Linked DNA regions of Macaca mulatta. The main gene of each other region encodes a partner of the protein of the gene in region 3 in a complex. Links are inferred from orthologs where the notes say so. Each region holds a gene or a part of one and is shown on either strand. Other genes may lie near its edges.

Region 1 (10,509 bases), on a different chromosome or scaffold from region 3:
CATGTCAAAAGCTGGACTCCTTGTGTTCACTTGGGTCAGAACTTTTAGGAGCTGTGTTTACATGCACAATAGAGGGTGTGGGAAGGAACTGGAGAGAAAGGAGGCTCTGGATTCAAGACTTGGGTGGAGAACCTCTATTTGTTAGCTAGTTAGCCTGGGGAAGGCTATGCTCAGCCTCCATGTTCCTACCTGTAGAATGAGAACCACCTGTAGAATAAGAACCACCTGTAGAATAGGATCCACCTGTAGAATAAGAATCCACTCACTGGGTTGTTGTAAAGTAGTTGATTTATTGACTAAGAAGGTGAATGTTAGGGGTAATCATCTGAGTATGAGTCCTGGCTGCTCTGCTCATCACCTGTGTTACCTTGTCAACTATCTCAACCTCTCAGTGGTTCATTTTCTTTATCCGTAAGATTGGAATGATGATAATAGCATGGCCTTCATGGAGGTTTTTGTGAGGATTAGGTGAGCTAATATATGTATGTCATCCCACCACCTTCTGGACTCCATCGATTTGGGGAAAAATTGGCCGTTCATCTTATTAAGGATTCCTCGTATGTGATGAATTGCTTCTTTCTGTTTTTAAGATCCTCTGTCTTGATTATCGTATGTCTAGGTGTGGATCCCTTCGAGTTTATTCTACCTGGAGTTCATTGAGCTTTACAAATTTGTAGATTTTTAATGTTTTTCATCCAATTTGGGAAGCTTTTGGACATTATTTTTCATATACCTTTTTTGTTCCTTTCTCCCTTTCCCTCTCCTTCTGGGACTTCCTTTACATACACTTGATGGTGTCCCATAAGTCTCTGAGGCTCTTGTCATTTTTCTTTCTTTTTTTTTTCTATCTGTTCCTCAGACTAACTAATTTCAAATGACTTATCTTAAAGGTCACTGATTCTTTTACCTGCTCAGATATGCTATTGAGCCCCTCTAGTGAATTTCTCATTTTAGTTATCGTACTTTTCAACTCTAGAATTTCCATTTTGTCCTTAAAAATAATTTCTGTCTCTTTCTTGATAGTTTCTATTTCATGAGACATCATTTTCATCTTTAATGCTTTTGATTTTTAAAAAAAGTTCTTCGGATATACTTACTATAGCCAATTTAAAGTTTTTGTCTAGTAAGTCCAATATCTGGCTTCCTTAGGGATCTATCGAGCTCTCCCTGCCCCATATATGCCCCATATCATTTTAGTTCTTTGCATGTCTTGTGTTTATGTATGTATTTATTTATTTAGAGACAGTCTCGCCGTCCCAGGCTGGAGTGCAGTGCTGTGATCATAGTTCACTGTAGTCTCTAACTCCTGGGATCAAACAATTCCCTCACCTAAGCCTCAGGAGTAGCTAGAATTATAGGCACATGCCACCACTCTTGGCTATTTTGTGGGGTTGGTTTGTTTGTAGGGACAGGGTCTCGCTATATTGCCCAGTTTGATCTCAAACCTCTGGCCTCAAGCAATCCTCTTACTTGGCCTCCAAAAGTGCTGGGAACACAGGAGTGAGCCACCACACCCAGCCGGTATTTTTTTAAACAATATAATGTGGCAACTCTGGAAATCAGTTGTTCCCCCTTCTTGAGGATTTGTTCCTATTGTTTAGTGACTTTTTGAACTCAGATGGTAAAGTCTGTTTTTTGTCATGTGTGACCACTGAAATCCCTGTTCAATTAGCTTAGTGACCAATTAGAAATTTCCTAAAATGCTTGGCAACAATGACTCCCCCAGTCTTTACTGAGGGGCTCTGTGCATATGACTCACACTCAGGTAAGCCACCCACACCTCTGCCTTAGCTTTCACTTTCTGCTTGAACAGAGACTTAAGATAAGGCAGAGGGTGCTTAGGGCCTTCTTAGGTCTTTCTTGAGTGTGCACATAGCCTTGTGCATGCGTGTGACCTCCTAGATTCCCAGGAATTTGTTGGAGCTTTTCAAAGCAACCTATGGACATCTCAGTCTCCAGTTTTTTGGTTAGCCTGTTGTTTTCCCAACTGTTATCTACTGCCTCAGACAGCCATGATGTTAAGTAATCATCTCTAATTATTTTCCACAAATGTCCCCAGGGAGAAAGATTCTTTGTACTGGGTGAGCTCAGAGTCAGGTCAAACAGAAACAGCTTCTCAAGTGGGGCTTTTCAGGGAATCACCAGACAGGTCAAATCATGACAATGCTCTGGGAATGGGCCTTTGATCCAACCCCATTCTCTCCCCTCCAGAGGCTACTGGGATGCTGATTTTCGCTGTGGTTATGAATGTTGGTTTGCGAGGTTACCACAGAGCTGGGAAAGGGAATCAGGAATAAGTCAAGTTAAAACACCACAGAACTCACTGGTCCTCCTGAGATTCACCCATTTTTCTTGCTGGACTTTGGTTAATTTCCAGAGTTCTGAAAATGTTGATTCTGACCATTTCCACCAGCCTTCTCATTGCTTTTATGGAGAAGAAGATTTTTGGAAGTTCTTTTTCTCTATCATCTTTTTCGTGATGTCATTCAAAGTTGAAACATGTAAAGCATTTACAACAATATTCGGCACATAGGGTTACGTGTATGTGCCATTATTATTGTTGTTGTTGTTAATAATAAATGAGAGGCCACATATGAACCCGCTTCCTCCCTCCAGACAAGAATGGTCCCAGGGGGCACAAGAAGGGCATATGGGGAAGGAGAAAGATGTCCATTTGCAGAGAAAAGAGAGGGAAAAAGGCAGGAACATATTTTGGAAGATGACTGGGAGAAAGGTAGTGCTCAGTGTCACAAGTGTGGGAAGTATGGTTCATAGCTGGTTAGGCTAAGAAGGCAAAGAGGTAGATCCTGGTCAGGCTCAAGGCCTGTTGGTCCAACAAGCAATGCCTGTTGGTCCCCTGTAATTGGTCTAGTCACCTCTCACCAGCCTGTCTCTTCCTTGTGTGGACTCTGCTCACTGCCCAGTCCTCTGCTCTGACTTTAAAAGGCAGATGGTTCCAAGGACGGGTGAACAGGACTGTAACAGCACGTCCCTATGCGCGGTCCCTGAAGAAGCTGCCCTGCCCTGCCCTGCCCAGGGGAGTTGGCTGGAGGGATTGCCTGTTTATGGGTGTGCTTGGCAGTCGCCAAGGGGCATGGGCATCCGGGCTATGCGATACCCTGCCAGCACATGGCCACACCTGTCACCCTCAGCCCTGGGACTCGGTGTTTCTATAACAGTTGGGCACTTACGAGTCTTCTGGGCGTCCAGTGGGCGTGAATGAGGGAGGGGATCTCTGGAGCAAGCAGCAGGGAAAGAAGAGGGAGCAGAGATATGGGAGGTTGGGGTGTTGGCTCTTTGGTTCACATGCAGACTGCAAGATCTTTGGGGACTCAGCCCTAGTGTCCTTGAAGGACAGGTTTCAAGGAACACCAAAGTCTGGTAAAAGAGGGAATAATCCTGAAAACCAGGTGGGACATCACACTGACATAACCCTGCTCCACTGCCACTGTGGATGGGCGTCTGTAAACCTGGGAAGGGATCTTACATTGCTGAGAGTCAGTCCCATATTTTATAGAGGAAGAAGCAGAGGCTGAGATGATCTTTGTCCTCGCTGGATGGTCATTTGAGGGTAATGGGCAATGGTGACTAGATCCCTGGCCGCCTGGTCTCCACGTAGCACCCTTTCCTCTAAAGTGCTGTATTTGCTAAGAATCCAGAAGCCTCGGCATTTGCAGAATAGAGGCTAGTCATGCAACTACCAGGTACTCCTGAAAAGGAGCTTACCTTCGACATGTGGTTCGGTCACATGGTAGGAAATCGAGGAATACGCTTAAATTACAGGGTGAGGAAATGCTTTGTAACTCTGACAGGGTCTGAGCTAACGGAGGATGCATAATGGACTGACGTCCTGACAAAAGGGCGGGCGGAGGCCAGGCACGGTGGCTCACGCCTGTAATCCTAGCACTTCGGGAGGCCAAGGCAGGTGGATCACCTGAGGTCAGGGGTTCAAGACCAGCCTGGTCAACATGCCAAAACCCCGTCTGTACTGAAAGTATAAAACTTAGATGGGTGTGGCGGCGCATGCCTGTAATCCCAGCTACTGGGGAAGCCAAGGCAGGAGAATCACTTGAGTCCAGGAGGCGGAGGTTGCAGTGAGCCAAGATTGTACCACTGCATTCCAGCCTGGGCGACAGGGCAAAACTCTGTCTCAAAAAAAAAAAAAAAAAAAAAAAAAAAAGGTAGGGGCAGGTGGCTCACCCACAGCCACGTCCTGCTTCACAGGCATTCAACCTGTGCAGCTTCTCCAGGCCCAGGGCCCACAAGGGTCCATGCTTGGATTCATGTGCTGCTATCGCTGCCTTGAAATCCTTGGTAATTTGGAGCAAGGAACCCTGCATTTTCATTTTGCACAGGACCCTGCATATTCCGTCGCCTGTCCTCTCTCCTCCCCTGCCTTGAGGCCAGGGACAAACCTGCCAGCTCCATGGTTTCCCCCAGCCTGAGGACACAGAGCCACCCAGCATGTCTTTGCAGGGAGAGAGTGACCAGATGGAGCCCAGAAGTCCCTGGGCTGGTAGAGCTGCGGTTCCCGTCTTGAGCCTGCCCAGCTCTCTGTTCTGGGCGAAAAGCCCCAGGGTCCAGCCAGACAGAAATAGCTGGGACAAACGCCCTCGTCTTACAACCCAGCCCCAGCCACCAGCACAGCACATGCAATTCAGATCTTCTTCCCTGGGCAGAAAGGGCTGGGCGGCTGCCCTATCTCTAGCCTGAGAAACCTGCCTTCCTTGGCATGGGCAAATTTGTCCGGGGGACGACGGGGAAGGGCGGGAGGTGGGGATCGGGACGGAGGGTGGGTACGTTACCCCCGGGCAGGGTGATGGGCCCGCAGGTCTTGCTGTCGTCCATGGGGATGCGCTTGGTACAAATCCGCCAGAGGCCGAAGTGGGCCGCCTCGCAGGTGGTGTTGTGGTGCTCCATGTGGGGGCTCAGCACAGCCCAGTGGTCGGTTACCACGGCCGTCATGGCCAGCACGATGCCTGCCAGGATGCAGAAGAGGGTCACGCGGACCTTCAGCGTTTTGGTCTGGGACATGGTGGTCGCCGAGGCGTGGGTGCCCTGGGCAGGGTCCGGCGGCTGCGTCTCCTCCGGCAGGTGACAGCCGAGCTGGGGGGTGGCGGTGGTTGTCGAGTTGGGAGTGGCCACTAAGTTTAGTGTGCCTGGCTGAGCCAGAGTGGGCTGGCCCTGGGGCTGAGGGACGCGGGATGTGCTGAGCAGCTGCCCAGACGCGTCAGGGGCCTGAGGAAGGCTGCTATTAATGCCCCTCTCCAGGCGTGGCACCGGGGACGGCTTCTGCTCGGGTTTCAGCGCTGTCTGCCCCTCTGGGAGCCAGAAATACCCCAGTGGGGGGCGGGGCAAGGAGAGAAGGCTCTGGATGGTGGATTGAGGCCTCTATGGAGTAGCAGCTCAGGGTGCCTGAGTTGGGAGGGGGCGAGGGGTGGGCAGCAGGGCCCCAGGGGTGGAGATCTGTCTGCTCTGGGCTGATGGGAAAGGGCACCCCAGGCCAGGGGAGGAGACCAGGAGCTGCAGGCTGCACGGCCGTCCCGGGCTCCCACATTGTAAGCCTACTACCGGCGGGGCAGTGAGTAGGTTCTCATCCTGGGATCTGGGGGGCCTAGGATTCTGTCTAGGGACATCCCAGGGACCCTGTCCGGGGCCTGTGGAGTCCACCTCTCAGGCAAGCGTTTTAGCCACAAACCCCACAGCATCCCGCAAACCACAGGAAGATTTTAGGTGGTTCCCAGGCCTGGCCTTACCCAACTCTGATCCCTCCACGAGAACATTACTTCCTTTTCAATTCTCTTTCCATCCCCAAAACTGGGTCCAGAGCAGAGCTCCGTTCGAGGTCAGTGTCATTACTGCCCGCAAAGTGTCCTCTGAAACAAAGCGAGAACGGCCTGAAGAGGACGAGGAATCCTGCTGGACTTGGTTGTTCTGTTTTCAGGGCACTGTGTTTGGTTTTGCCTTCTACTAACAGCAGGTGATAACGATTTTCCAGTTACGTTTTAATTTGCAAAATATGTGTGTGAGTGAAAAAGAACGAATAGGTTGATTTATAGGGGATCATCAGGAGCTCATGGGTGTGCGGATATGGCAGAGAACACAGAAAGCCTGGGATCGACCACCCTCCGAGGGTCCTGTGCGCCTGCCTGGCCCCCAGGCCTGTCCCCGAGGCTGCGGCCTCTACGTCTCTCCTGGGTTGTGCCATCTCTCCCTTCTCAGCTCACTGGGTGGCCCTTTTTGGGTGTAGCCGAGAGGCTGATGCATGATCAGGAATAGCCTCCTGAGCTGGGTGGGGCCTTGAACTTCAAAATTCTTGCCTCAGATTGACACGATTTACAGAGACTCTGCCCATGTGGACAGAAACATTTCGGCCTCCAGCCTTGGAATCACAGAAAGTTCATGATGATGATAATAGGAGCAGTGGCTCATCTTCAGTGAGTGCTTACTATCTAACAGGCACTCTGCTGAGCCTTCATCCATCATCGCAGTTACTCTTCACACCAAATCCACAAGGGGACTGTGGCTGTTTTTGCCATTTCACAGTAACACAACTGTTACTGCCATTTCACAGACAAGGACATGGACACTCAGAGACGTGAAGTCACTTGTCTAAGGTCACACAGCGGGAAAATGAGGAAGCCAGGTTTCAGGACCCAGAGCCCGAAGTCTTAACCAATGGTTAGAACTGGGAAGAAGCTTGAAGATCTATTGTGACAGATTAGGAATCTGCAGCCCAGAGAGGAGACATGACGAACCAGGACCACCTGGTGAACAGCCCCGAGGCTGAGCTGAACCCTCGTGTCTCCAGCCACAGGCTCGTGCTTATTGCAGTTCCATCCAAACGTTCATATTTTTAAAGTCAGTCTCTCATCCATATTACAATCTCCCGAGAGCTTCTCTCCCCACTGTTCTAATCTCTGCTTCCCTTCCTCCCTGTCCCCCCACCTCTGTGTTCCCAGTGGGTGCTAATCCATCACAACTGACTGATCACTGACTGATTGTTGACATATGCCGCCGCCCCTGCTTCAGCTCGCGGAGAAACTGCCTGTCACCAGGTGGGTGGACCGTCTCCATGGGGAACTCCCGGAACCTGGGACATGGCCGCAGCCTCTGAGCCCTCTCTTGTTGCTTGTGGGGGCCCAGCTTCAGGATCCTGGCACCTGGGGATCTCAGGGGGTGCTGGACAGCTTGAGCAGACCTACTGAGTGCCAGGCACAAAGCAAAGCAGTAGCTGGGGAGCCAGAATAGGGTTCCAGTGTTTTAAGACAGAATATCTAGAAAGAAGCTGTTTAATTTTAGCACTACAAGTAAATACAGTGTCGCTGGAAGAATAAAAGTGTCTTTTGAATTTCCTGGTGTGGTGGGTGTGGGTGCCCTAAGCTCTTCGGTGCCAAGAGCCTCTGACGGCCTTGGAAAGCACCCTGAAAGGGCCCAGTGCACAGGGTGCACCCAGCACCAGCCATGATGATATTGCAGGCCCTTCAAAGATGCCAGGTCTCGGCGGGGACAGCAACCAGGAACTTCTGCTGCTCTTTCCCTCGGTGGGGGGCAGGTTTGTGCCCCATGCAGGGGTCCAGAGTCCTCCGCCCCAGTGCAGTGAAAGCATTAAAGATTGATGGCCTCTGCCTTTTGAAGTCATCTTTGTGTAAGTCGCACCACGAGGCCGACAGATCCACTTTCTCTCCCCTGTTTACTAAAAGCTCCCTCAAATACACCTTTTCTGCTCACAGAGGCACTGCCGCGCTGCCTGCCTGGTTCCCCAAGAGCCTGGCAGGGCCAGGAAAGGACTTCAGTATCCACAGGCATTTGCTGAGAGTTGGGCAGGGCAACATCCATGTCCTCCCCCCAGATCTCACCCTTTCCAGGGCAGCAGGGAGGAGAGCATCTCAGGGAGGCAGCATGCGAGAGGGGGACCAAGCTAGAGGGTGATGGAGCTGGCCAGCCCTGAGCAAATCCCTGCACTGCTTGGCTCCAGCTGTGCAGCTTCCAGCAAGTCATTAGCCTTTCTAAGCTGCCCTTTGTAAAATGAAAGCAATGGGCCTGGCTGTGGAGAGGGTAGAAGGACAGGAGGGAGTGCATTGGACCAGCTTAGCCATGGTAGGCACTATGGGCTGCATCATGTTTTCCCCAAGTTCATAGGTTGAAGCCTAACCCCCAATGTGATGGTGTGTGGAGATGGGGTCTTTGGGAGATAATGAAATGAGCTCATGGAGGTGGGGGCCTTGTGATGGGAGTAGTGTCTGTATTAGTCTGTTCTCACACTGCCGAGACTGGTAATTTACAAAGGAAAGAGGTTGAATGGACTCACAGTTCCACATGGCTGGGGAGGCCTCACAATCACGGTGGAAGATGAAGAAGGAGCAAAGGCACATCTTACATGGCGCCAGGCAAGAGAGCACGTGCAGGAAACTGCCCTTTATAAAACCATCAGATCTTGTGAGATTTATTCACTATCATGAGAACAGCAGAGAAAAAGACACCCTCATGATTCAGTTACCTCCCACTGCGTCCTTCCCGTGACATGGAATTATTACAATTCAAGATGAGATTTGGGTGGGGACACAGAGCCCAACCGTAGCAGTGTTCTCATAAGAGGAGACCGGAGAGAGGCCGTCATGCATTTAATAGAGCATTGAGTACTTGATTCAGCACAGGATGTAATGGTAAGAAATCAATCGCCCTGGATGCCTGGCACTCACAGTGTTGTGGGAAATCTGGGGGGCTCCTTTCCTGTTCTGTTCTCCAGATGTTGATGCTTACTTGCACCCCTGAGATATTTTTATCCTATCCACACCAGCCCAATTCCCTTTGGTTTTACAACCCCACTCTGCCAGCTTCCAATTCTGGCAGCTTTTTCCGACTGCCCTGATCACAGTGGCCTTTTCCCTCCCTGTTGATTCAGGACCCTCCTGAGGCCTCCAGAACATACAGGCCAGCCAGGGCTTGGGCCATAGTTAAGTTGGGGCACAATAAGGCCCACGCTGGGACTTCTGCCCTGCCAAGCAGGAGAAGACCCACTCCCTGCCCTTGAGGAGTCCACAAATTGTTAGGGCAGCTGAGACTGTACTGGGAGGGGCTGTGGGGGTCTCCTGGGACAGAACTCAGCCTGCTTGGAGAGGTGTGGAGAGGAGGAGCTCCAGGCAAGACATGGGCCCCTCAGGAGGCTTGAGCCCGCAGCCAGGGTTCTCAAAGTGCACCCTGTACATACGTGCAAGAGGAGAGAAGGCAGCCTGTGATTTAAATACTTTTTTTTTTTTTTAAGACGGAGTCTTGCTCTGTTGCCCAGGCTGGAGTGCAGTGGCGCAGTCTCAGCTCACTGCAAGCTCCGCCTCCCGGGTTCACACCATTCTCCTGTCTCAGCCTCCTGAGTAGCTGGGACTACAGGCGCCTGCCACCATGCCAGGCTAATTTTTTTTATATTTTTTAGTAGAGATGGGATTTCACTGTGTTAGTCAGACGTTCTCGATCTCCTGACCTCGTGATCCGCCTGCCTCAGCCTCCCAAAGTGCTGGGATTACAGGCGTGAGCCATCGCGTCTGTAAAAGTCATTTAAAGACTTTTATGTTTCTTTTTTTGAGATGGAGTCTCCCTCTCTCACCCAGGCTGGAGTGCAATGGTGTGATCACAGCTCACTGCAATCTCCGCCTCCTGGGTTCAAGCAATTCTCTTGTCTCAGCTTCTCAAGTAGCTGGGATTATAGGCATGTACTACCACGCCCAGCTAATTTTTATATTTTTGGTAGAGACAGGGTTGCACTATATGGGCCAGGCTAGTCTCGAACTCCTGACCTCAAGTGATCTACCCGCCTCGGCCTCCCAAAATGCTGCAATTACAGGTGTGAGCCACCACGCCTGGCCTAACGATTTTCATATTTCTTTTCGTGAGGATCTGGATTATATCATTAATATGATTTCTTTAGGTCAAGATCAAATTAAAAGTGGTAATTTAAAGAAAGAGATGAAGCAAGTAATTGTACAGGTGGCGCCTAGGATGTGGCAAGCATCATGCCAGTGTCCCGGGGTGGCTGCTGTGTGAAGCACGCAGCTGTCAGGGAAAGCGCATGTCCTTTCTGGGAGTGACAGTCGTAGACTGGAACCCCAGCTTTGCTGTTGACTGTGTGTGTGCCTTGTGAGAGATGGGTCACCTTTCTGAGCCTGTTTCTTGCTCACAAAGAAGGGAGGATCATAACTACCTTGTGGGGTTATAGCGAGAATTAAATGCAGTAATGTATGTGTGCACGTATAGACTGTGATGTACGTTACTTCATAAGAAGCTTTGTGGGACTCTGAGAGGGCTGGACACCTGCAGTGTTGGTGCCCATGGCTTGGGCAGCAGCAGGAAACACCTTGTTGAGCAGGTCAGAGTCAAAAGATAATGATGATGATTTTCTAGCCAAGCAAAGAGAAGTTTGATGAGAACATGCAAATCCCCATTGACTGTCCGCCTCACTACTCTCACTCTGGGAGTGCTTCTGGAGAAATCTGATGATGACAGTGGTTCCTGCAG
Region 2 (10,556 bases), on a different chromosome or scaffold from region 3:
CACTGCAACATCTGCCTCCTGGGCTCAAGCCATCCTCCCCGCTCAGCCTCCCTCTGAGTAGCTGAGACCACAGGCACATGCCACCAAACCCCACTAACTTTTTTAATTTTTCGTAGAGACAGGGTTTTGCCATGTTGTCAGGTTGGTCTCAAACTCCTGGGCTCAAGTGATCCTCCCTCCTTGGCCTCACCAGGTGCCGGGATTACAGGTATGAGCCACCGCGCCTGGCCTATCCGTTCTTTTCTAACAGTAAAGACAGAATTGGCTCAAGAAATACACAGTCCAACTGTGAGGTTTCTTGTTTGAATCACCTTTCTGAATTGTTATATGAAAAAATGTAAATAGTATATGAGGAAAATAAATAAGTTATGAATATTAAATCAGCATGAACAAATAGTAAGTTGTACTTGTTAAAATTGTCGTAAACTTCTGACCCCTATCAAATTAAATTTAAATAATGAAGTCAAATATGAATAGACAGGGGTCATATGGGAGAGTGCAGTCTGGATCCCAAATTTGTACAGTAAAAGAGAACTGCTAGAAAATCATTTTGAGCAAGGGACTGATAGGTGTTACCTGAGAAATAAAAGCCCTAGCCCCTGCCTTTGGTTGCTTACATTCTGGTTGAAGACATAGAATAATGCACAACCCATGTTGGAAGTCAGAGAGCTCAGGCAGTCAGAATGGGCAGGAGCTGGAATCAAGGATGGCAGGACTCTGGGTAAAGCAGAGAGGCGTAGAGAGGGCCCCCAGGACCAGAGCCAGCACAAGCCAAGTGTGAGATCAGGAGAGCTAAGAGTTCCAGAGAAGACTGACCTGATAGATCTGAGGGTCTGTTTGGGAGACATTTTCTAGAACCTTCTCTTGAAAGCAACGGGGAGCCTTTGAAGGCCATTGAGAAGGGGAGGGATATGTGAATTTGTCCTGAATTCTCAGACATTTGGTTTCACTCTTTTTTTTTTTTTTTTTTTTTTTTTTTTTAAGGAGAACCTCGCTCTGTCGTCCAGGCTGGAATGCAGTGGCATGGTCTTGGCTCACTGCTACCTCCACCTCCCAGGTTCAGGCGATTCTTCTGCCTCAGCCTCCCAAGTAGTAGGGATTACAGGCGCCCACCATCCCACCCGGCTAGTTTTTTTTATTTTTAGTAGAGACAGGGTTTCATCATGTTGGCCAGGCTGGTCTCGAACTCCTGTCCTCAAGTGATCCTCCCACCTCAGCCTCCCAAAGTGCTGGGATTGCAGGTGTGAGCCACCACGCCTGGCCTGGTTTCACTTTTGAGAACACATCTAAGTCTCCGTGATGCTTAGAATCATTGTTGATTTTTCTTGGTCCTCATTTAGTGTGGAGGACAAAGCGAGCTGGAAACAGACTCAGGGCCTGCAATAAGGACAGAGGTGAGAGGGTGCAGAAGGAGACATTCTCAGGAATCTGAGTTTACCACGAACTCCTCCTGTCAGGGAGAGAGCTAGCCCCTTTCTGTCTCTTGGAGAGGCCGTGCCCAGTGGCCAAGGTGTCACGCTGCCCATCACTCACTCACTTGCTAAGTCCTGAGCATCTTTTACGAAGAGGGAAAAAATAATAGAGTCGTGATAAGTGCTAATATAGACCTTATGGTACCCTGTAGACACACACAAGAGGTGGGCGTGCGATCAGAGAGGCTTCCTAGACAAAATGGCACCTAACCTGGATCTGATAACCACATTCAATGAAGCTTGGTGGCACCTAAACTCAACACACACCAATTATTTCTGAAATAACAGCTTCCTAAATCCTATGAAAGGCTACGTGTAATCAGTCCCACCCTAACAAACCCAGCTTTCTGCCTAATCCTCTCTCTCAGTTATTCCACATGTATTTGTGGAGCATCTATTACTTGACAGGGGCTGGGCTAGGCTCAGGACATACAGGTGAAAGAATAGATGCCCCCATTAGGTGCCACGGAGAAACCCAGGGTGGGGTGAGAGGGTGTATCTCGGACCATAGGGACTGGGGCAGGGAAGGCTTTGATGACTGTCTCTGCCAGGCAGAGGGCTTTGAACGGACCAACAACACCTACCTGGTTATCAAAGAGGCATTCCTTTCCATAAAGAGTTGGCTTCCCTCGTTGGCTGATGGCTGCTGCTGCTAATTCAATAGGCAGTCTCAGACCTTCTTCTAGATGTAAGGCCCTGGAAGGGATCAGTGATGAGACTTAATCCCCACTCTCAAGGGACATGACAAAATTGGGCATTTCTATAAGCTATGCCCTTTAGGAGGTGTTTTTGCATACATACTTTCACAGTTGATTCGCTTATTAATTTCTTGTCAGGGATGTTTCCCTTGCCCTTCCTAGGGAAACCATGACTCAAAGCGGTCACCCGACTAGTAAGAAGGGATGCGCACAAGATTTTAACCCAGATCTGTGCCCCTTCAGTAGCCAACCACCTCTCCTCATGAGGCTTACAATCCCGTTTGCGGGTGGAGATGATACAAATAAGCCCATAATACAGGCCTTTCCTAACTGATATGTTCACTCTCCTCTCCTCTTGTTTAGAAATGTTTCCCGGGACTCCCTCCACTGAGCTGGCGCACTCCTAACAGCAGCCATCAGTTTGGGCACCCCGGACTGCCCAGGGATCAGGGATCTCGAAGGCCGTGAGGACCAAGGATCAGGCGCTGGGGTGGGGGTGGAGGGCATGGAGCCTGGGGTTTAGGCCTGAGGTGCCCATGTTGGGCGGCAGGAAGAGGCAAGGCGTGCGGGTCTGTGGCCGTGCCCATGGGTGCTGCGGAGCGAGGTGTGGGCCCTCAGAGTTCCGCGGCGCCATGGGCTGGATCTGAGAAGGTGTGCACCGACCCCCTGAGAGGGGCCACACTTGTCTAGGACGATGGCTGGTGTTAGGGAGTCCTTGGAAGCCACCCTAAAGGGCGAAAAGAGGCCCTAGCAAATCCTGGTACCCCGGAGCTGCTGCTAGCGATGTGATTTGCCCCAGTGGTCGAGACCGTGTAGACCCCAAGCAGGGGCCATTCGGTGGGGGCCTCACTCTGGGTCCAGCTCCACGTGGCACCATGAACAATAACTTCTGCCGGGCTCTGGTGGACCGGAGGCCCCTGGGGCCCCCCAGCTGCATGCAGCTGGGCGTCATGCCCCCTCCCCGGCAGGCGCCCCTGCCTCCCGCCGAGCCCCTAGGCAACGTGCCCTTCCTGCTGTACCCGGGCCCAGCCGAGCAGCCCTACTACGACGCCTACGCGGGGGTGTTCCCCTATGTGCCCTTCCCCGGTGCCTTCGGGGTCTACGAATACCCCTTCGAGCCAGCCTTCATCCAGAAGCGCAACGAGCGCGAGCGGCAGCGCGTTAAGTGCGTCAACGAGGGCTACGCGCGCCTCCGCGGCCACCTCCCCGGCGCCCTGGCAGAGAAACGACTTAGCAAGGTGGAGACGCTGCGCGCCGCCATCCGCTACATCAAGTACCTGCAGGAGCTGCTGAGCTCGGCCCCAGACGGCGCGACGCCCCCCGCCGCCCGCGGCCTCCCGGGCACCAGGCCCTGCCCGGCGCCGCCCGCCGCCCCCCGGCCCGACCGCCCTGGCGACGGCGAGGCCCGGGCGCCCTCCTCCCTGGTACCGGAGTCATCCGAGTCCTCCTGCTTCTCCCCCTCGCCTTTCTTGGAATCGGAGGAATCCTGCCATTGATCGGGCTTGTGGCAGCCCCTGGCTTGGGGAATGATCCGTCGGCCCCGTCCCACTTTCGGGAGCAGCGGGAGGCTGCTGGGTCACCCGCGATGCGCCGCAGGCTGGTGACTGCAGGAGGTCCGCGGTGCTCCCGTGTCTGCGACATCCTTCCTCCTCCGTCAACTTGGGGAGGAAGTGCAGGGCAACGGGTGCGAGGCGCGCGATAGAGACCTGAGGAGCTCCGTGGGTGCAGCGAGGGGCAGGGCCTGGGACTGCTCCGGGCGTCCTGCGTCCCCTCCGGGGTGCAGAGGGGCACTCCAGGACGATTATCCCTGGGTCTGGCTCCCGCTCGGCCTGCTTCTTCCTTCCTCGCCGCAGGCGCAGCCCAGTCTCTGCGAGTTCCCGGGAGGCAAGCCCGGCTTTGATCCCTCGGTTATCATGCCCCTGCTCTCCACCAGATGGCTTCAAATACTAGCGACTTCTTTGGGAGCACGCTTGCCCTTTGAGAAAGGAACCCAGAGGAAGGGATGGGAGGCCAGGCCGCTGCCGGCGCTCAGCCCGGACCGAACCCACAGACTCAGCAGAGGCGACCTGTGTGCCCTGGTGGCGTTCTCTAGCTTCCTTGGTGGGGGGCGATCACTCCCTTCACACCCCCCAACGAGGTCATCTAGTTTTGTCCCAGGTTGGGTGGGGACTGTGGTTTTTTTCCCTCAGACTGTAAGCCTTGGGGGAGGGGGGTGTGCATATGGGTACATAGGCACTGTGTTGGCACCAAAGAGCTAAATAAAAGGATTTTTGAATTTTTCTCATTCCTAGATCATTGTCTACCCTCACCCTTCCTGGTGCCCCTTTCTCATTCCCACTCCTAGTCCAGAGTACTTGCTGGAAGGGTATGTGGGATTCGCTGTTAGCGCATTTAAGGTTCAGTGTTAGCTCAGGCATTCAATGAATTTTTTTTTTAATTTTAATTTTAATTTTAATTTTAATTTTAATTTTTGAGACAGGTTTTGCTCTGTTGCCCAGGCTGGAGTGCAGTGATTCTATGCCTGCTCACTGCAACCTCTGCCTCCTGGGTTTGAGCAATTCTCCTGCCTTGGCCTCCAGAGTAGCTGGGATTACAGGTGCACACCACCACGCCCACTAATTTTTGGTATTTTTAGTAGAGTTCAGGTTTCACCATGTTGGCCATGCTGGTCTGGAATTCCTGACCTCAAGTAATCTGCCCACCTTGGCTTCCCAAAGTGCTGGGATTACAGGCATGCGCCACCGCGGCTGACCTCAATGAACTTTTCTTTTTGAGACAAAGTCTCACTCTGTCTCATTCTGTCACCCAGGCTGGAGTACAGTGGCCCGATCTTGGCTCATTGCAGCCTCAACCTCCCAGACTCAACTGATCCTCTCACCTTGGCCTCCTTACTAGCTGGGACTACAAACACACACCACCACACCCTGCTAATTTTTGTATTTTTTGTAGAGACAGAGTTTCACCACTTGCCCCGGCTGGTCTTGAACTCCTGAGCTCTAGCCATTTGCCCACCTCAGCCTCCCAAAGTGTTGGGATTACAGGCATGAGCCACCACGCCTGGCCTCAGTGATCATTTACAGGGAGCATAGTATATGTGGGGACTGTGCAGAGAAGGGGCCAGAGTCCCAGAGATAAAGCCCACAACCTTTACACCTGTAGGGGTGGGAGGAGGTGAGGAAGAAAGATACACAGCAGATGCTCCACAGTGAGGCAGGTGCTATGCCAGAGGTGTGTACACTCAGGGATGTTCTGGGAGTCTTCCAGCCCACTGGAGAGGGGTTTACTGTTTCCCTGACATGGGATTGCTTGGGGGGTGGGTTGAGGGTATGTTTGGGGAGTCTTGGCTGATGGTGCAAATACTGAGCTAGGTAGAGGGTGCTGTGGAGCTGTCCTGACTTAGGCTGCCCAGTGCCTTCTCCAGACAATGTCATGGGGCTGAGGAGGGGAAACCTAATTTTGGCATGAGGGGGCCACTCTGCCGTTTGAGGTTCCATATCCAAGGCTACCGCTTCCTGATCTCTGTTGCCGCAGGCTTGAAACCTTCCATCCTGTCTCCCTCTCCCACTGCCCCTGCCCCATCCCAGGCCTGTGTGTAAGTTCTTCTCCCCATCCCCCACCCTCCTCAGGGGACAGATTGGGAAGCCACTGGCTGGACTGGATGGAATGACAGCTGTCTGGCCTCAGGAGCTCAGGCCCGGCAGTGGGGAGCCGAGTGGAGGCTAATTTTACTTGCTGGGAGTGGGGAGAGTAATCCTCCTGCCCCCACTGCTGCCCCCGCCCCCCGGCTGGCTCAGCAGGGCAGGCTCAGCCGACAGCCTCAGCCAGCCCAGTCCTCAAGGCGGGGGGCATTGGGGACGCAGGGAAGAGAGGGCACTGGGGAGGGGGAGCCAGATTCCCAGGGAAGCCATGGAGCCGTCCTCACCCCAGGATGAAGGCCTGAGGAAGAAACAGCCCAAGAAGCCGGTTCCTGAGATTCTGCCAAGGCCACCCCGGGCCTTGTTCTGCCTGACCCTGGAGAACCCCCTGAGGAAGGCCTGCATCAGCATCGTAGAATGGAAGTATCCTTCAGGGCCCAGGCCGTGGGGGGGAGCATGCATCATGGGGGAGGGATTCAGGGGTGATCACAGAGCACACACTTCCTACAGGAGGGCCAGGGAGGCCTGGGACTTAGACCTGGGGTGAACTCACAGAATTGAGTGAGGCTGGGGGAAGGAGCCCTCAGCTGCGCAGGAGAGGAGGAGGAGGAAGAGGAGGGAGAGAAGGAGGAGGGGGGAGGAGGAACAGGAAGAGGAGGAGGAAGAGGAGGAGGACTTGGTGGGGCTTCCTGGGCCTGAGCAGGCCACCCAAGTCCTGGGTGACAACCAGAGATGCCTACTGACCACCTATGGGTGGGGCCTGCTTCATGGGGACTGTTCCCAGGTGTGCCCAAATCCACATTATCATGGGGTGCCACTAGGTTTTTGAAGCACCAGCCTCATTTCAGAATAGGATAGGAACCAATAAAAGGTTCAATGGCCTCTTTGAGAAAACTCCCCCTTGTTTGGGTTGGGTGGGGGGTGACCCCTCTGGGGGCAGATCCCAGCTGAGGACAGAGCCAAGGGAAAAAATGGGTCTGAAAGACACCTGGTCTGAGTGGCTCCAAGACACAGGCCAAGCAAGCCTGGGTGTTCTAGCTCAGACGTGCCACCCTGGGGACAGAGACTTCGAATCTCATGCTGTGTTTGCATTTGCTCTGGGGGGAAGAATGCTGAAAATATCCGGGTTATCTGGGGAAGGGAGGAAGGAGTGACAGAGACAAGGGGAGGGCTGTGTCAAGTGGGTTCTGAGAGCGAGGGTCGGGCATATTTGAAATATTTCTGAAGGGTTCTGGAAGGCTGGGCTCCTACCAACTGTTCCCTAGAAGGAAGGAGAATGAGGGATAACTAGAAGGACAAGACAAACGTGGGGCAAGTAGAGATATCTTGGGGTCAGTGTCAGCCTTGTTCCCTTCACCTGCCCTTGGCCAGTCGGTGAATCACCCACATCGAACCCTCCTAGGCCCTCCCTCCTTGCCTCTCTTCTGCAAACAGGTTTACTCCATGGGTTCTCCCTCTCCTCCATCCTCTGCTCCTCTGCACCTTCCCCTCTCGTAGCCCCCTGCCCCTGTGGCCCTCCTCTTTTCTCAAACACTGGAGGTTACTGGGAAGAGAATGGGATTTTTCTGCCAAGCCCATCTACATAATATGCCTCCCCATCCGCCCCCAAACAACTGCCTCGCTTCCTCCCTTGCTTTCTCTAGCTCTTTCCACACTTGCTGCCTAATGGGTCAGAAAGTCAAGAAAGCCATGGACCTGGGGTACCCTCTAGAAATGGCTGTGGGTGGGTGTGTCTGGGAGGGGCGAGGTGTGATGGGTGTGAGCACGAGCACACCAGCATGCACACATGGCTCTGGAAATTCATCGTTCATCTCTCCATCCCTCATTCCCAGTCCTGCTCGGTGAGTTCTCAACCTTACCCCGCATCAACCCTTACCCTCCCGTGCCATTTCTCTGGGTGAGCCTCTGTGGATTGGCCAGAATCTGGGAAAGTCATGGCTCCCTGGGAGGAGGCAAGGGCGTAGACAGGCACTGAGAGTGGAGCAGTGTGAAGACTCCCTAGGCCTTAAAGCTGAGTAGCCCTTAGCCAGGGACCAGACCTTTACCATTCCAAGGAGTCTATGTGAAAGCGACTTGTTCCTGAGGAAAGGGAGCCAGTTGTCAAGGCAGGAACCTGGTCCTCACTGTATCCTGCAGGTGCTCAGGGAAGGAGCATCGTGGGTGAGTGTCCAACAGCTTGTCCACCTGCCTGGCATCAGAGTCACAGTCCAAACTGACCCTCAGCGCCCTCTTCCCCTTAACCCTGTAAGTCCCATGCCCCTGTGGCCCAAGGGCTCTCCTTAACCCTGGCTCCAGGCCCTTCGAGACGATCATCTTGCTTACCATCTTTGCCAACTGTGTGGCCTTGGCCGTGTACCTGCCCATGCCAGAAGATGACAACAACTCTCTGAACCTCGGCCTGGTAAGATTGGCTCTTCCATCCCCCTTCCTGACGGCCTGCAGCCCCAGGCTTGGGGAGGCCCCCTTGGTGGACTCTGTTCTGGGGGATGGTGCTGGTGGTTTAACTCCCTGCATCCCCACCCACCTGCAGGGCTGGCTGAGTGGCTCAACAGGTTTCCAGGGTCAACGTGCTTATTCTAGATTCTGTGACATTGTCAGCCAGCACTGAGCACACAGTCATTGGTCCCGGGCACTGTGCTAATACCGGATGAGAGTAAACTCATTTAATCTTCACAACCACCTCATAAAGTGGTTCCATTTGATAGATGTGGAAACTGAGGCTTCGTAAGGTCAGCTAGTGAACCACAGAGGTTGAATGCTAATTTCCCTTCCCTAGATGTAATTCATAAGAAACTTGTGTCCACTAAGTTTGCCTTCATGGGAGAGTTTTATCCAGGAATCTGAAGCAAGAACATGTTTTAGAGTTCTACAATACCACTTTCTCTTCACCCCTTCATCGGTAACACATACCTGGAACCATAAAATGCCGGGGCTGGAAGGGATATTCAAAAATTAGGCTGTCCTACCTCCTCCCCACCTGATTCTGTTTTATGGATGAGGAAATTGAGGCCTAGATAGCTTCAAGGACTTACTTACCCAATAGTTAATTTATAATAAAAATGGTTAGCATTTAGTAAGTACTTATTAAATGCCAGGATTTGAGCTAAATATTTTACATTATTGTATTATTTAATCCCCCTAACTACTCCTGTGGGGTAAGTAACATTATTAGACCCATTTAAAAGACAAGGAGACTGATATTCAGAGAGTTTAGGTACATTGCCCAGGGTCACCCCACATCTAAGTCTTGTGGTAGGGCCTCCAGCTTGGTCTCTCTGACTTTAGAACCTGCAATTTTTTTTTTTTTTTTGAGACAGAGTCTCACTCTGTTGCCCAGGCTGTGCAATCTTGGCTCACTGCAACCTCCACCTCCCGGGTTCAAGTGATTCTCCTGCCTCAGCCTCCCAAGTAGCTGGGATTACAGGCGCCTGCCACCATGCCCAGATGATTTTTGTATTTTTAGTAGAGATTGGGTTTTGCCTTGTTGGCCAGGCTGGCCTCGAACTCCTGACCTCAGGTGATCCGCCCGCCGCGGCCTCCCAAAGTGCTGTGATTATAGGCGTGAGTCACCACGCCTGGCCAGAATCTGCTCTTGTACAGGCTGTGTTGCCAAGGTGGTGGGTGACAGCAGAAAGACTTCTAGGGGAAGCCCTCTTAGAAACAGTGGCCTCAGGCTCCCTAGGGGACAGGACAATGGAACCACCTTTTTCAACGGGAATTTTTTTTTTCCTGCACTGAAACTGCAGGGCCTGGGAGGGAGGAGGTATATTAGCATGTGTCCAGGGCCTGACACATCTCTGCCTTTCCCTTATGCTGGTTTCCATGGGAATCTATCTTGAGCCGATGGGAAGCTGGGATTCTAAATGTGTGCTTGCTATGAGGAGAAAACACTCTGAGCTCCCGAGTGTGGAAGGAGAGTGGGATTAAATGTTGGCAGGGCAATGCTACCTTTGCTGGCAAGGAAGGCATTTCGTAAAGTCTGGGCATTCTACACCATAGGCTTAGTCTCCATGTTTCTGAATGCAGGGAGAGCTCTGGGTCTACCCCACCCTTCACGATTTCATATTTTTGGGCCTCAGTTCCTTACGACATTGACTACTTTTGCAAAAAACTCTGCCCCACCTTGGAGGATATTAAATTACACCTCTGCTGGATGCAGTGACTCACACCTGTAATCCCAGCACTTTGGGAGGCTGAGACGTGAAGATCGCTTGCATCCAGGAGTTCGAGACCAGCTTGGGCAACATAGAGAGACTCCCGTCTCTACAAAAGTTAAATTAGCCGGGCCTGGTGGTGCATACCTATAGTCCCATCTACTTGGGAGGCTGAAGTGGGAAGATTGCTTGAGCCCGGGAGGTCGAGGCTGCAGTGAGCCAGGATCATGCCACTGCACTCTAGCCCGAGCGACAGAGTGAGACCCTGTCTCAAAAAAAAAAAAAAAAAAAAAAATTACATCTTAGAGGTTATATCATCTTCCATCTTGAAACAAAATGGCTGCCTTAACTGTTTCATGTAGTCCTGTGTGTGTTTTTCTTTAGTTTGTGGGCTGGAGTTGCAAAACCTTGGGTTAGGCCTAGAGTTCATAGAGACAGGATTATGAGTTCCCTGGAAGTCGGAAACCTAATAAAAAATGTTTCCAAAGCGGAAAATGCCACTTGGCATGTCAGAGCTGTATGGGAAATGAATATTCAGGGAGGACTCCTAATCCGACCACTTAATTGTGAAGCCCAGAGAAAGTCGGTGATACCCAA
Region 3 (10,511 bases):
AGACCCTGGAGGGAGGAGATAGACCCCTTCCACTTTCCCTAGGGACTTCCTGTGGCAGGCTTGGTAGAGGTGACTCTTTGGGGTCAAGGACCTTCCCTCACCTCATAACCTTTCAGAGAGGGTCCGACCAACACCACAGGCCGCATGGAGGGCACCACGTCATATGGGGGAACATGTTCCGCCTGCAGAATGGACATGAGGTCAGTAGAAACCATGGCCCTAGTGCCTGTCTCATGCCTGGCTGGTGTCAAGGCAGATCCAGAGGTTCTGGGCTCCCTCCCGTCTCTGTTCTGCCCTCCAACAATGACTGCCTAGAACACTGTCCCCAGAGCCATAAGCCATGATCCCCCCCAGCCCAGGTCCCTTCCTTGACTTACCTGCTTTTGCTTCTGCTTGGCTTTTCGGAAAAGGAAATACAAGATTAAAGTTGGTGAAGGGGGAAAGGTCCCTGGGGGCACGGTATCCCCATCCCCAGGGAGATACTGGCTTCTCCCCACCCCTTCTGATCCCTCCACAAAACCCCTTCCCACACAGTTCACTTGGGCAGAATCCCCCCTTTCCCTGTGTCTTAGCTACCCACCTACCCAAAATGGGTGGGTTGAGGGGAGGCTACCTAGAGATGGTGGAGGGGAGCGTCGGTTGCCAATGTCACTCAGGCTGGAAGGGTTCCCGGATCTCCTGAGAAGAAAGGGAGGCGAGAGAGAGGTAGAGAAGAATGTGTCTTTGTGTACATATGTTCTATGCATTATTTAATAATTGTACACATTTCCATATGCTTTATCTAGTGAGACAGGTGTACACACAATATGTGTGCATTCGTGTGTGTGTTTGTAGATTTGTTTAGTGTGAGTGTGTAGAGCCGGGCATATGTGCATGTGTATTTCAGGGGGATATGCATGTGTGTGGCATGCATGACGATGTGTCCTGTGGGTACAGTTCAAGTGTTTGGGGTGTGTTTACTGAGTCACAGCCCAACTCTCACCTGGCCTTCTGCTCCTGTTTGAGCCGGATGCTCTCCAGGCGCTGGGGGCTGGGGATGAAAGCGATGTCCCCGCCCTCTTTCACTAGCCGCCCGATCCACCAGTCATTGCTGTACTTCTGGGGGTGGGTGGAGCAGGAAGGGTGGTGAGAGGAGCGCCCTGCCCAAGTCCTGGTTCTTCAATGTGAAGAAGCCAGCGAGGCAGTCACTGAGCTGGTCTAAGGAATGCAATGCAAGGGGCGGTGGGCAGAAGGGGCCAGGGGAAAGGGCAGCCAAGTTCGGGCCACCCAGGATTTCTGAGTGAGGCACTGCAGCTGTCATAGGGGACCTCGGAGGCAGCTAATCTAACTGCTCACTTGATGGACATGGAGACTGAGGCCCAAGCCAGGTCTCAGAAGGATGGAGACCCTGGGGATGAGGTCTTAGATATGAGGGGTGGACAGGTGGGTGTTAAGGAGAAGAGCTGATTAGCTTGGGGAATTAGACTGAGGACTGAAGTAAGAAACATTGGGATCTGGGGCAAGAGCAAGAAAATGAAGTGTCAGAGGCTTAGAAGTGTTAGAGCACGGGGGTCGGTCACCTCTTTAATGTGCAGAAAATCTTTGGCCTCAAAGTTGACTCCAGAGCCCTGGACGGGGCACTCCTCATCCAGTACGCCACAGTAGCTGACATTGGTCCTCACCGCAAATGCCACAGGTTTGTGCTGGAGAATTTGGCCATTAGTGCAAGTGAGAGAAGCCTCGGAGCACCCCTTCCAGCTTCAGTGCCCCAACAGCAGAAGGCCGTGGCCTCTGCCCCTCACATGCACCCTCTCACACTCAAGGACATCCTGCCCAAGGAAACCTTGGGACTTAGGACCAAGTGCAGGTTTCCACCTAGTTTGGCCTCCTGTCTTGCCCCATGCCCAGAAAGTATACCTTGGCCCTTTCGAGCTGCTGCTGAGCCTGGCTCTCTACTTCACGCCGGGCACTTTCCCGGTCCTCCTCCAAGGAGACGTCTGAGTCCAGAGATGGGCGGCTGGTGTAGGAGTCAGCTGAACCCTGGGTTGGGAAACAGGCTGTGACTCCCAGGCTCCGGCGTGAAGGACGCTATGGAGGCACCCTCCTCACCTTACAGTGTTGCCTCTATTGCCCCGTTTCTCCATCTCCAAGGGGGTGGCTGGGTCCCTATGGCCCCTCCTATCCCCTGAGAAGGGCCCCGGTGCCTCTGAGGCTACAGGAAACCTGGCCCCATCTATAGGTGCAAAGATCTGGGCCCCTCCTCCCCCAAACCTATTAATACTACAGCTTTGAATAGAGCCTTCACTTCTCTCTTTCCTCCCTTTTCTCCCCTCTAACATGTCCTCTGAGCTGAGGGAAGGGAGGAGTGCTGAAGATGATGTATTAGAGATGATTCTGGATCCAGGAGACCCAGCCCTCTTGTTCACAGCAGCCTGCAAAGCAGCCTGGACATCATCCCTTTAAGATGCCTGGCAGGAGTCCAGCCAGCAGTAACAGTCAAGAGACGCTGGTTGGCACAGCACCAGTCCTGAGTGTGGGGATCCAGCCATCTGCCCCCTAAGATCCTACTTTCCCTACTCCAACAAGGCTCTGAAGGCTCTCAAATGGTGAGCCCTTCCCCTTCCAGGGTGAAGAGGAGGACACAAAGCTGCCAACTCCTAGAAGTTACCTCCCCTTTGCTCTCCCCACCCCCTACTTTTCTTCCTCCCACACCTGCTGGGGCAACTGGCCAGATATAGGCAGCAAACAAGACACAGACCGAGAAGAACACAAAGCTGTCTCCCTGGACGCAGGTGAGGCTGGGCCATGCCTACCACTTGGCCTACATCTCCCCAGTCCTTTCCCAGGCCCAGGGGACACTGGCCCTAGAAGAAGGCTATGCTAGTGCCAGGCAACTCAGCTATGGAGCAGGACCCTGGGGATGTGGGGAGTGGGTAACATGAGCAAGGAGAGTCTCTGAGTCCTGCCCATAGAAAAGGTCATAGGCAATGAGGGTGCATTTGAGGGTCACAGAGCTCAGCTTCAAGGCCATGAGGGAGAGGCACAAATGAGTAAGGGATGCTGGACTTCGAGACAAGAGCCCAGAGGTTAGGATGTCTGGGTTTCCTCCTCTGCCTACGGAAAGAGTCTTTCGTTTCCTGCCTCAGTATTCCCTCTCTGTGGGGAGAAGCCTCAAGTGATACTTCCCACGATTCTGAGATGCCAGTGGCAGAGAGAAGGGATAAGCCTAAATAAGGGGTTCATGCAGGAGTGTGTGTGTGTATAGGGGAAGGGGCTTTAGAATGTCCTTGGGTGGAGGAATATTCTCTCAAGCTCACTGGGCACGACCACCTACAGAAGGCAGCAGAGGCCAGACTCTCAGAGGAGAAGGCAAAATCACACACCTGCTGTCCACTGTGCCCTCTACCCCCACCCTGCCTTGAGCAAGAGGGCTGTTCAGCTGGGGGTCAGCCCAGGCTCTCGAGTCTTAGGCTAAAGACAGTGTCTATAGTACACCAAAGGCCTGAAGATAGCACAAGGGGGAAGGTTCTTTCGTTTTACAGAAGAGTAGAGTCTGCCCGCTGTTGCTCATCTCTCCTGAGAACAAAATGAGGCTGGATGGCAGCAGGAAAAGTGGGGGTTGAACCCCAGAAATAATCTTGGCACAGGGTGAGGGACCTCCTTCCTAGGGGTCTTAAGACACAAGAGAAACCTCTGTGGGATGTTAGTATCTGAAGCGACCAGACAGGGGCCAATAGGCTGGGAGGCAGAAGGCAAGGCAGATGACCACTCACTTTGGTACAGATACATCGGGTACCTCCCAGAAGCTCAGCACCATGCTAAAAGAGGAGTCTGACCTTTTCTGCCTGCGCTCCAGACTCTCAGCCCAATTTAGTAATCTTTATTTTTATTATTTTATTTATTTACTTAGAGACAGGTCTTGCTCTGTCGCCCAGGCTGGAGTGCAGTGGCACAATCGTGGCTCACTGCAGCCTTGAACTCCTGGGCTCAAGCGATCCTCCTGACTCCTGAGTAGCTAGGACTACAGGCATGCACTACCATGCCTACTAGTTTTTTGTAGAGACAGGATCTTGCTATTTTGTCTAGGCTGGTCTCAAACTCCTGGGCTTAAGCCATCTTCCTACCTTAGCCTCGCAAAGCACTGAGATTATAGGCATGAGTCTCTGTGCCTGGTTTAATTTAGTGATTTTTTTTTTGAGACGGAGTCTTACTGTGATGCCCAGGCTGGAGTGTAATGGCGTGATGTTGGCTCACTGCAACCTCTGCCTCCAGGGTTCAAGCATTTCTCCTGCCCCAGCCTCCTGAGTGGTTGGGACTACAGGCATGCGCCACCATGCTAGCCTAATTTCTGTATTTTTAGGAGACACGGGCTTTCATCATATTGGCCAGGCTGGTTTCCAACTCCTGACCTCAAGTGATCCGCCCGGCTTGGCCACCCAAAGCGCTGGGATTACAGGCCTGAGCCACCTTGCGGCCTAATTTAGTAGTAATAACGCCTGGGGCATCTGGGGTTACCTGACCTCTCACCCTGGGATGGGAATCACAGGATCTCTCCCTAAATAATTAATGAGTTGTGCTCAGAATGGAAGCCCCTCTCCATTACTTCCAAGTCCTCCAAGCTAACTTATCTCTCGTGCTCCGGTATTACTTCGGGAGGCCAGGGCTGCCCTGCCAGGCATGATCTAGGGTCTTACCTTTCCTGTACCCCGCTACGCCAAAAGAGCCAGAGTGTCAGTACTTTGGAGCTGCCAGGAGTTGGCACAGTGCCCCGGTGGTGCCCCCCTTGCCTAGTGAGTGTGTGGGCAGGCTGCAGCTCCTCTCTTGCCTGGCACGGGGGAAGGAGAGGAGGGAGATGAGCCGTTGGATTTATTTAGAGCCTGATCTCCCTCCTACTGCTTCAGAGGGGGCCTCAGGGAGAGCAAGGAGCCAGGCAAGAGAAAGGGAAGTGGGGGAGGGTGATCAGGAGCCAGAGAGCGATGGGAGGGAGCAATGGGTCAGCAGGCTGTCCTCCAACACCATCCACATGTCAGTCTGTTCCTTGCAATAGCCCTTGCCTTCTCACCAGGGATGGGAAGAACCTCCTAGGGCCCTCCAGCCCCACAGAGAGGTTTGTTCTCAAGCTCACCTTGGCACCCTGGGCTATACCAGCTGTCCCTTCAACTGTCAGAAAGAGGTGTCCACCAGAGCCTTGAAAATGATCTGCTCTAGCAGCAAAGTAATTACCCCAGAGGCCTCATGGAAAATTGGGCCCAGAAGGAGCCCAGTCCCAGAAAAGGACAGTTGCCTATTCTGAGCATCAGCACTCATCTATCCTGGGCCTGGCAGCAAGTGATGGGAGAAGACTGGAACATACTCCTCTTTCCGACCCAGGGGTGCTCCATCCTATTGGGACCCCTTCCAAGCCATCTATTGGTCCACTCCTAAGGAGGCCTTCTTACAGGACATTTGAGGGAAAGTTGGCAGCTCCAAGGGTCTGAGAAGCTGCTCCGCATTCTTGCCCCATCTTTCCAGGCACTCTCCCTGCTGTCTGAGCTCCGGGAATCACTGCTTAATGAGCTGATTTGTCTCAGTGGGTCAGGAGATAAAAGCAAAGAGGAGAATTAAATATTTATTGGTTGCCTGTTTCTCTGAGCAAAGCGCATCCTCTCCATCCCCAGGCCCTCAGCTCCTCTGGCCTCACCTCCAGGCCCTCCATGCTGGGCAAGAGCTCAGGATGCCCGCTGCTCAGAGGAAGCCTCAGCAGGGGGCTGTGGAATGGATGGGGCTCAGTCACCTGGCCTACCCATGTGCTGGGTGCCCAGGTTTCAGCCTGAGAGAGAAACTGGGCTAGAGAAAGGGTGAGGAGATGAGGCAGTGCGCAGAGATGGAGGGGGTAGAAGGGAATAATGGAGCTCCTCAAGTTTTAGGATCCCTCTGTCTAAAGAGGCTGGTCCCTGGCTCCCTGGTGTCCTCTCAGCTCCCTAATGTGTTGTTTGCTTGAGGCACAAGAGGTCCGGAATGTCTGCCTCCCCAACTACCTCGGCGGCTCTCCTAGCTGTTGTGTTCAGACCCCAGAAATCCAGAATTTGGAACTCCAGACATGGCGTGTTCCCTCTCCAGAGCCTCTGTGCCCTCGGCCTCCAACCCTGCCTCCTCCCACCCCTCTTTCCTGGGCCGTGGAGCCACCTGCTTGAGCCCTTCCCCTATACTGCCCCCTCTCTGCACACACCCGATGCCCCAGGGTCTGAGTCTGGGTCGCTGGGGAGCGCTTGGCATGAAAATCCATCTCCCCACGTTTTTAGAGCGCCCCCCTACACACACTGCCCTGCCACTGAGGCGTTTTTCAAAGTCCTGAACTGGGGGAAGGGTTGAAGGGAGAGGAGGTGTCACCCCAACTTCCCCGCCCCCACCCTCACCGTGGGCACTCACCGCCTCCGAGTCCTCAAACCCGGGCACGTAGGAGTCGTCATACATGGGGGAGTCCGGGTGGGGGAAGCGAGCGGCGCCGGGGGCGGGAGCGGCCCGGAGGCAGGGGCGAGGACTGCGGGCCGCGCCCGGGAGATGCCACGGAGCCCCGCAGCCCTGCGGGCGGCGGCGGGGAGCGAGAGAGCGCGAAGGAGGGAGCGAGCCGCGAAGACCAGCTGCTCGGAGCTCAAATCACCGCTCCCCCCACCCCACCCCCCCAAACCCAGCCGGTCCCACCCCGAGCGCGGCTGAGGAATCTGGCGCCCGCTCCTACAACAATAGTGCCCGCCCACCTGACCCCCTCCCTGGGAGAAGGCGGGGGCGGCGAGGGGGCGGCGGCCACCGGGGAGCCCGGGCCAGGCCCGGAGACGGGAACGGACCCGTGCTGGGTGGAAGGTGGGTCCCCGAGCACCTACGGGGCCTTGGCGGCTGGGAGGAAGGGGAGGAGAGGCTGCGGGCGGGGCGGATCCAGGCAGGGAGGAGGCGGGGCGAGGAGAGATGCGGAGACAGAGACGCTCGGCAACCCAGGAACTACTCCGCCGGGAAACAAAGGGCTGCGGCGGGGGAGGGAGGGGGCGCTGAGACCGCGAGGAAGACGCGACCCAGGCGGAGACTGGAGAGGGCGCAGGTGTCGAGGAAGCCGGAGAGAGAGAGGCAGAGGGAGGACGGAGAGGACAGGAAAATGGGGAGACCCTGGGAGACAGAAGAGGCGCGGGAACAAGCGGCAGACTGGGGAGGGGTCCCAGGCGACAGCAGTGCGGGTCTGGGCCCGTGCGTCCCGGAAGCTCCGAAGCAGACCCCGCAGTAGTCCCGGGGAGGAATGGGCTTAGTGCCCCCAGGCTAATGCCAGGACGGCAACTCCTGCCCCAACAGGTGCCCGGCCCCCTCAGTACGGGAACGCTGCGGCAAAGGCGGTGTTGCCTAGCCCTTGAGAAGGGGGGAACTTTCCGTGAGCTGGATAGGCCTCCCCACACCTGTTGCACAGATAGATTTCGTCTTAGTCCGGCCAGGATGGGGGTTCCGTTCCCCACTTCCCTGCCAAGGATCGTGCCAGACAGTGCCAAGGCATCCGTGGGAACTGGGTCAGAAAGGGGCTGTTTTAGGTGAGCCTAAAGGGAGGGGAGAGAAACCAGAGGGTGGTGGTAGGGGATAGTTGTGGGTGGGATCCTGGCTACACTGGGGTTAGGAGAGGAAAGGGCCAGTCTCCTCAGAGTCACTAGGGTAAGGCCAGATTCTCCCCTCAGCAGAAGGGCTTGTACCACTCTGCACCACTCAGTCTCCTTCACAGGAACACTGAGATTTGAGGTAAGAGAGCCGCAGCCCTTATATTGAGGAAACTTTCCCCAAAGATCCACCCATTTGAGCTCTCTCCTTTTTTCATCTCCTGAGCAAAATTCCTTCTTTGATTTTTGACTGCCTACCTTTGTGCCCCACAAGGAGGACGTCCATAGACAGGGGTACACTTGGAGGCCTCCTGGTGCCCATGCCCTTGGCCCTGAGCTCAGTCCTTTTCCTTTCCCAATTTCTCACACCCGGGAGTTCAGCAATCTGCTCATCCCTCCTAGGCTTGAGGAGAATCAGACATCCAAAACTCTGACATAGCTTAATAAGATCTGTGGTAGAAGGCACTGTGCATGGGAGAGAGAAAGCCCACCCAAACCAAGTGGCTTCCCACCTGGGTCACTTATCGGTGTTATCTTAGCAAGAAAAAGAAGAGGCTTCATCTTCAGACTGACATCTTTAGTCTGTCTACTGTGGGTGGCCCAGAGCAGCCCTGCCCAGCACCTTCCTCATGCTGGGTTTGACAAACAACTTTGTTACAGCCCCTGTGGCTGAAGGGACGTCGCTATTGGGGGAGGCAGTCAGCTTTCACAGTTGCCTCTCCTGAGTCCAGCACCATTTGGGGTTTGGTCATATACTGGATTCGTATTGGAAGTTCCGACACTGCCCACTTTTGTGCCCTCACCCAGTTACTCAGTATTCCTTGTATCCCCCTCTTTCATCCTTTTCAATTCCTTCTGTCTTTCAGGGGCCGAGAGAGGTGTCGGAGAGTAAGACCCTCAAGGTGCTTTTCTCCTGGGAGATGGTTCTAATGAAGAAAGCAGTGGTGGAGGCAGCTGCTTCTCTTCCCATCCCTGCATCCACTCTCTTGGCCTCTCCTTTTGGGACTCTCCCACCCACAGAAGGTCCTGGGGCTGTAGGTAACAGCGGATCTGCCATGGGCAGCACTCCTTCCTCACACTCCTTGTAATCTGCAACAAGGTTGTCTAAGTCTGCTCCTGAGGCATGTGTTGCCATGCCAACCATCCCCAGGAGATGGGTTCAAGTTCCTCATACCTGGCCCTTCCCCTGGGTCCTGCAGGAGCTTCAGAACTTCCCTCCTTCTCCTCATATCTCTGGGTTGCTACCCAATGCCCCTTTCCTTTCTCATCTCACCCACACCTGCCTACTCCAGTTGTAATGCCAACTTGGTGACTTCTTGTCCTGTGACACGACATGTGCCTGTCAGTATCCATGTAGCCCTAACCTCTTTTCTTTTTCATGGCTGGGCATAAAGGGAGAGAGCTGAGGGCAATAAAGGATCAGGGGAGAGGCTCCTCCTGCTGATTCTTTCTAGGAGAGAGTTGTTAGACTGGCAGCTGGCAGGTACCCAAGTCATGGAAGCAAGACATAAGAGGAAAACCCTGAATAATCAGGTTTGGGAGCTGGAGTTCTTGGGAGGTTTCAGAATATATTCTAGCTTCTCCTGTAAGTGCACCAGGAAGCTGGGCAGATCCCTGTCCCTGGGCACTGAATGGGGAAACTGAGGCAGAAGCTAGGCCTTCTGGGAAGACTTAAAGACTCCTCTCCAGCAGTTTTTTTGTTTTTTTTTTTTTTTTGAGACGGAGTCTCGCTGTGTCTCCCAGGCTGGAGTGCAGTGTCGTGATCTCGGCTCACTGCAAGCTCCGCCTCCCGGGTTCACGCCATTCTCCCGCCTCAGCCTCCCAAGTAGCTGAGACTACAGGCGCCCGCCACCACGCCCGGCTAGTTTTTTGTATTTTTAGTAGAGACGGGGTTTCACCACGTTAGCCAGGATAGTCTCGATCTCCTGACCTCGTGATCCACCCGCCTCGGCCTCCCAAAGTGCTGGAATTACAGGCTTGAGCCACCGCGCCCGGCCTCTCCAGCAGTTTTTAAGATCTGGACCAGATAAAGGCCCCTACCATTCTGGCTGCTAGGCTGCCAGGGAACTTGGGGACAGGCACTAGGGGAGCTTGGCAGAGCCCTTCTTGTAATCTAGCCCCTTTTTTCTGGCTTCCCGGTCAGTCCTCTCCTCCCATCCAATCCCAGTACTAGGAAGCTGCCAGCTCTGGCCGCTCCCTCCTCTCTAACCCGGTGCCTCTTCCACCCCTGGTTTCACTTCGTCGGGTTTCCCTCCCTCCCTATCGGTGCAGTCTCACCCAAACGCGTGCCCCCTTCCTAGCTTGGAGCGGAGCTCTCCTCCCATCCAGTGGGGAACCCCCCCTCCCCCGACCCCCTCCCCCAACCACGGTTACCTCGTTCAGCAGGAAGGTTGCACTGGAGTCAGAAAAAGACATAGACCAGGCTAGCGGCCTCTCCTCCTCCCCCGGGCCAGGGGCTCCGAGGCGGGAGCAGAACCCGGCCGCTGCTCTGCACGCTGCTCCCGCCTGCACGCCTGGCCTCGCCCCACGCCCGCCCGGCTCCGCCGCCTGCTCCCTTCCCTCTCTCCTGGTTCCCTCCCTCTTTCTCCTCCCTCCTCCCTCCCTCCCTCTCCCTTCCTTTCTCACCGCCTCTGTCAGTCTCTGGCTCTCCCCGACTTTCAGCCCAGCCTCTCTCGCCACTTCCGTCTCTCCTAAGGTCCCCGTTCTGTTTTTCCGTGTGCCTCCCACTGTCCTTCCATCCCCATGTCGCACCCTCGCTCCTCAGCTTCCCCTGCCCCTCTGCTTCTTCCCTAAAGTCCTCCCGAGAAAGGGTAGGGACTCTGGAGCTTCCGCCGCCGCAAGCAGAAGGGCAGGAACAGCTCCAGGGCTGCCCCAGCACCTGAGCTCTTGGCGGAAGCTTCTGCTCCCTCCCGGCCCTGCTCTGCG

The links.
Region 1: CACNB3 (region 3) and CACNG1 share a complex: the UniProt entries of both Homo sapiens proteins name them as parts of the calcium channel complex. The link is inferred for Macaca mulatta from reciprocal best matches to the Homo sapiens genes CACNB3 and CACNG1.
Region 2: CACNB3 (region 3) and CACNA1S share a complex: the UniProt entries of both Homo sapiens proteins name them as parts of the calcium channel complex. The link is inferred for Macaca mulatta from reciprocal best matches to the Homo sapiens genes CACNB3 and CACNA1S.

The regions. Positions count from the first base shown.
Region 1 is NC_133421.1:76,791,572-76,802,080, reverse strand, and holds the start of CACNG1 (voltage-dependent calcium channel gamma-1 subunit), read right to left. Parts: upstream 5,228-10,509; 5' UTR 5,035-5,227; coding exon 4,806-5,034; intron 1-4,805. UniProt on the Homo sapiens protein: Regulatory subunit of the voltage-gated calcium channel that gives rise to L-type calcium currents in skeletal muscle. Regulates channel inactivation kinetics.
Region 2 is NC_133406.1:58,762,878-58,773,433, reverse strand, and holds the start of CACNA1S (voltage-dependent L-type calcium channel subunit alpha-1S), read left to right. Parts: upstream 1-5,580; 5' UTR 5,581-6,076; coding exon 6,077-6,228; intron 6,229-8,100; coding exon 8,101-8,206; intron 8,207-10,556. Other genes in the region: ASCL5 (achaete-scute homolog 5), read left to right, coding at 3,046-3,666. UniProt on the Homo sapiens protein: Pore-forming, alpha-1S subunit of the voltage-gated calcium channel that gives rise to L-type calcium currents in skeletal muscle.
Region 3 is NC_133416.1:55,975,264-55,985,774, reverse strand, and holds the start of CACNB3 (voltage-dependent L-type calcium channel subunit beta-3), read right to left. Parts: upstream 6,630-10,511; 5' UTR 6,433-6,629; coding exon 6,388-6,432; exon of another isoform or gene 5,472-6,387; coding exon of another isoform or gene 5,418-5,471; intron 2,020-5,417; coding exon 1,897-2,019; intron 1,683-1,896; coding exon 1,560-1,682; intron 1,099-1,559; coding exon 983-1,098; intron 679-982; coding exon 614-678; coding exon of another isoform or gene 585-613; intron 398-584; coding exon 378-397; intron 183-377; coding exon 102-182; intron 1-101. UniProt on the Homo sapiens protein: Regulatory subunit of the voltage-gated calcium channel that gives rise to L-type calcium currents. Increases CACNA1B peak calcium current and shifts the voltage dependencies of channel activation and inactivation.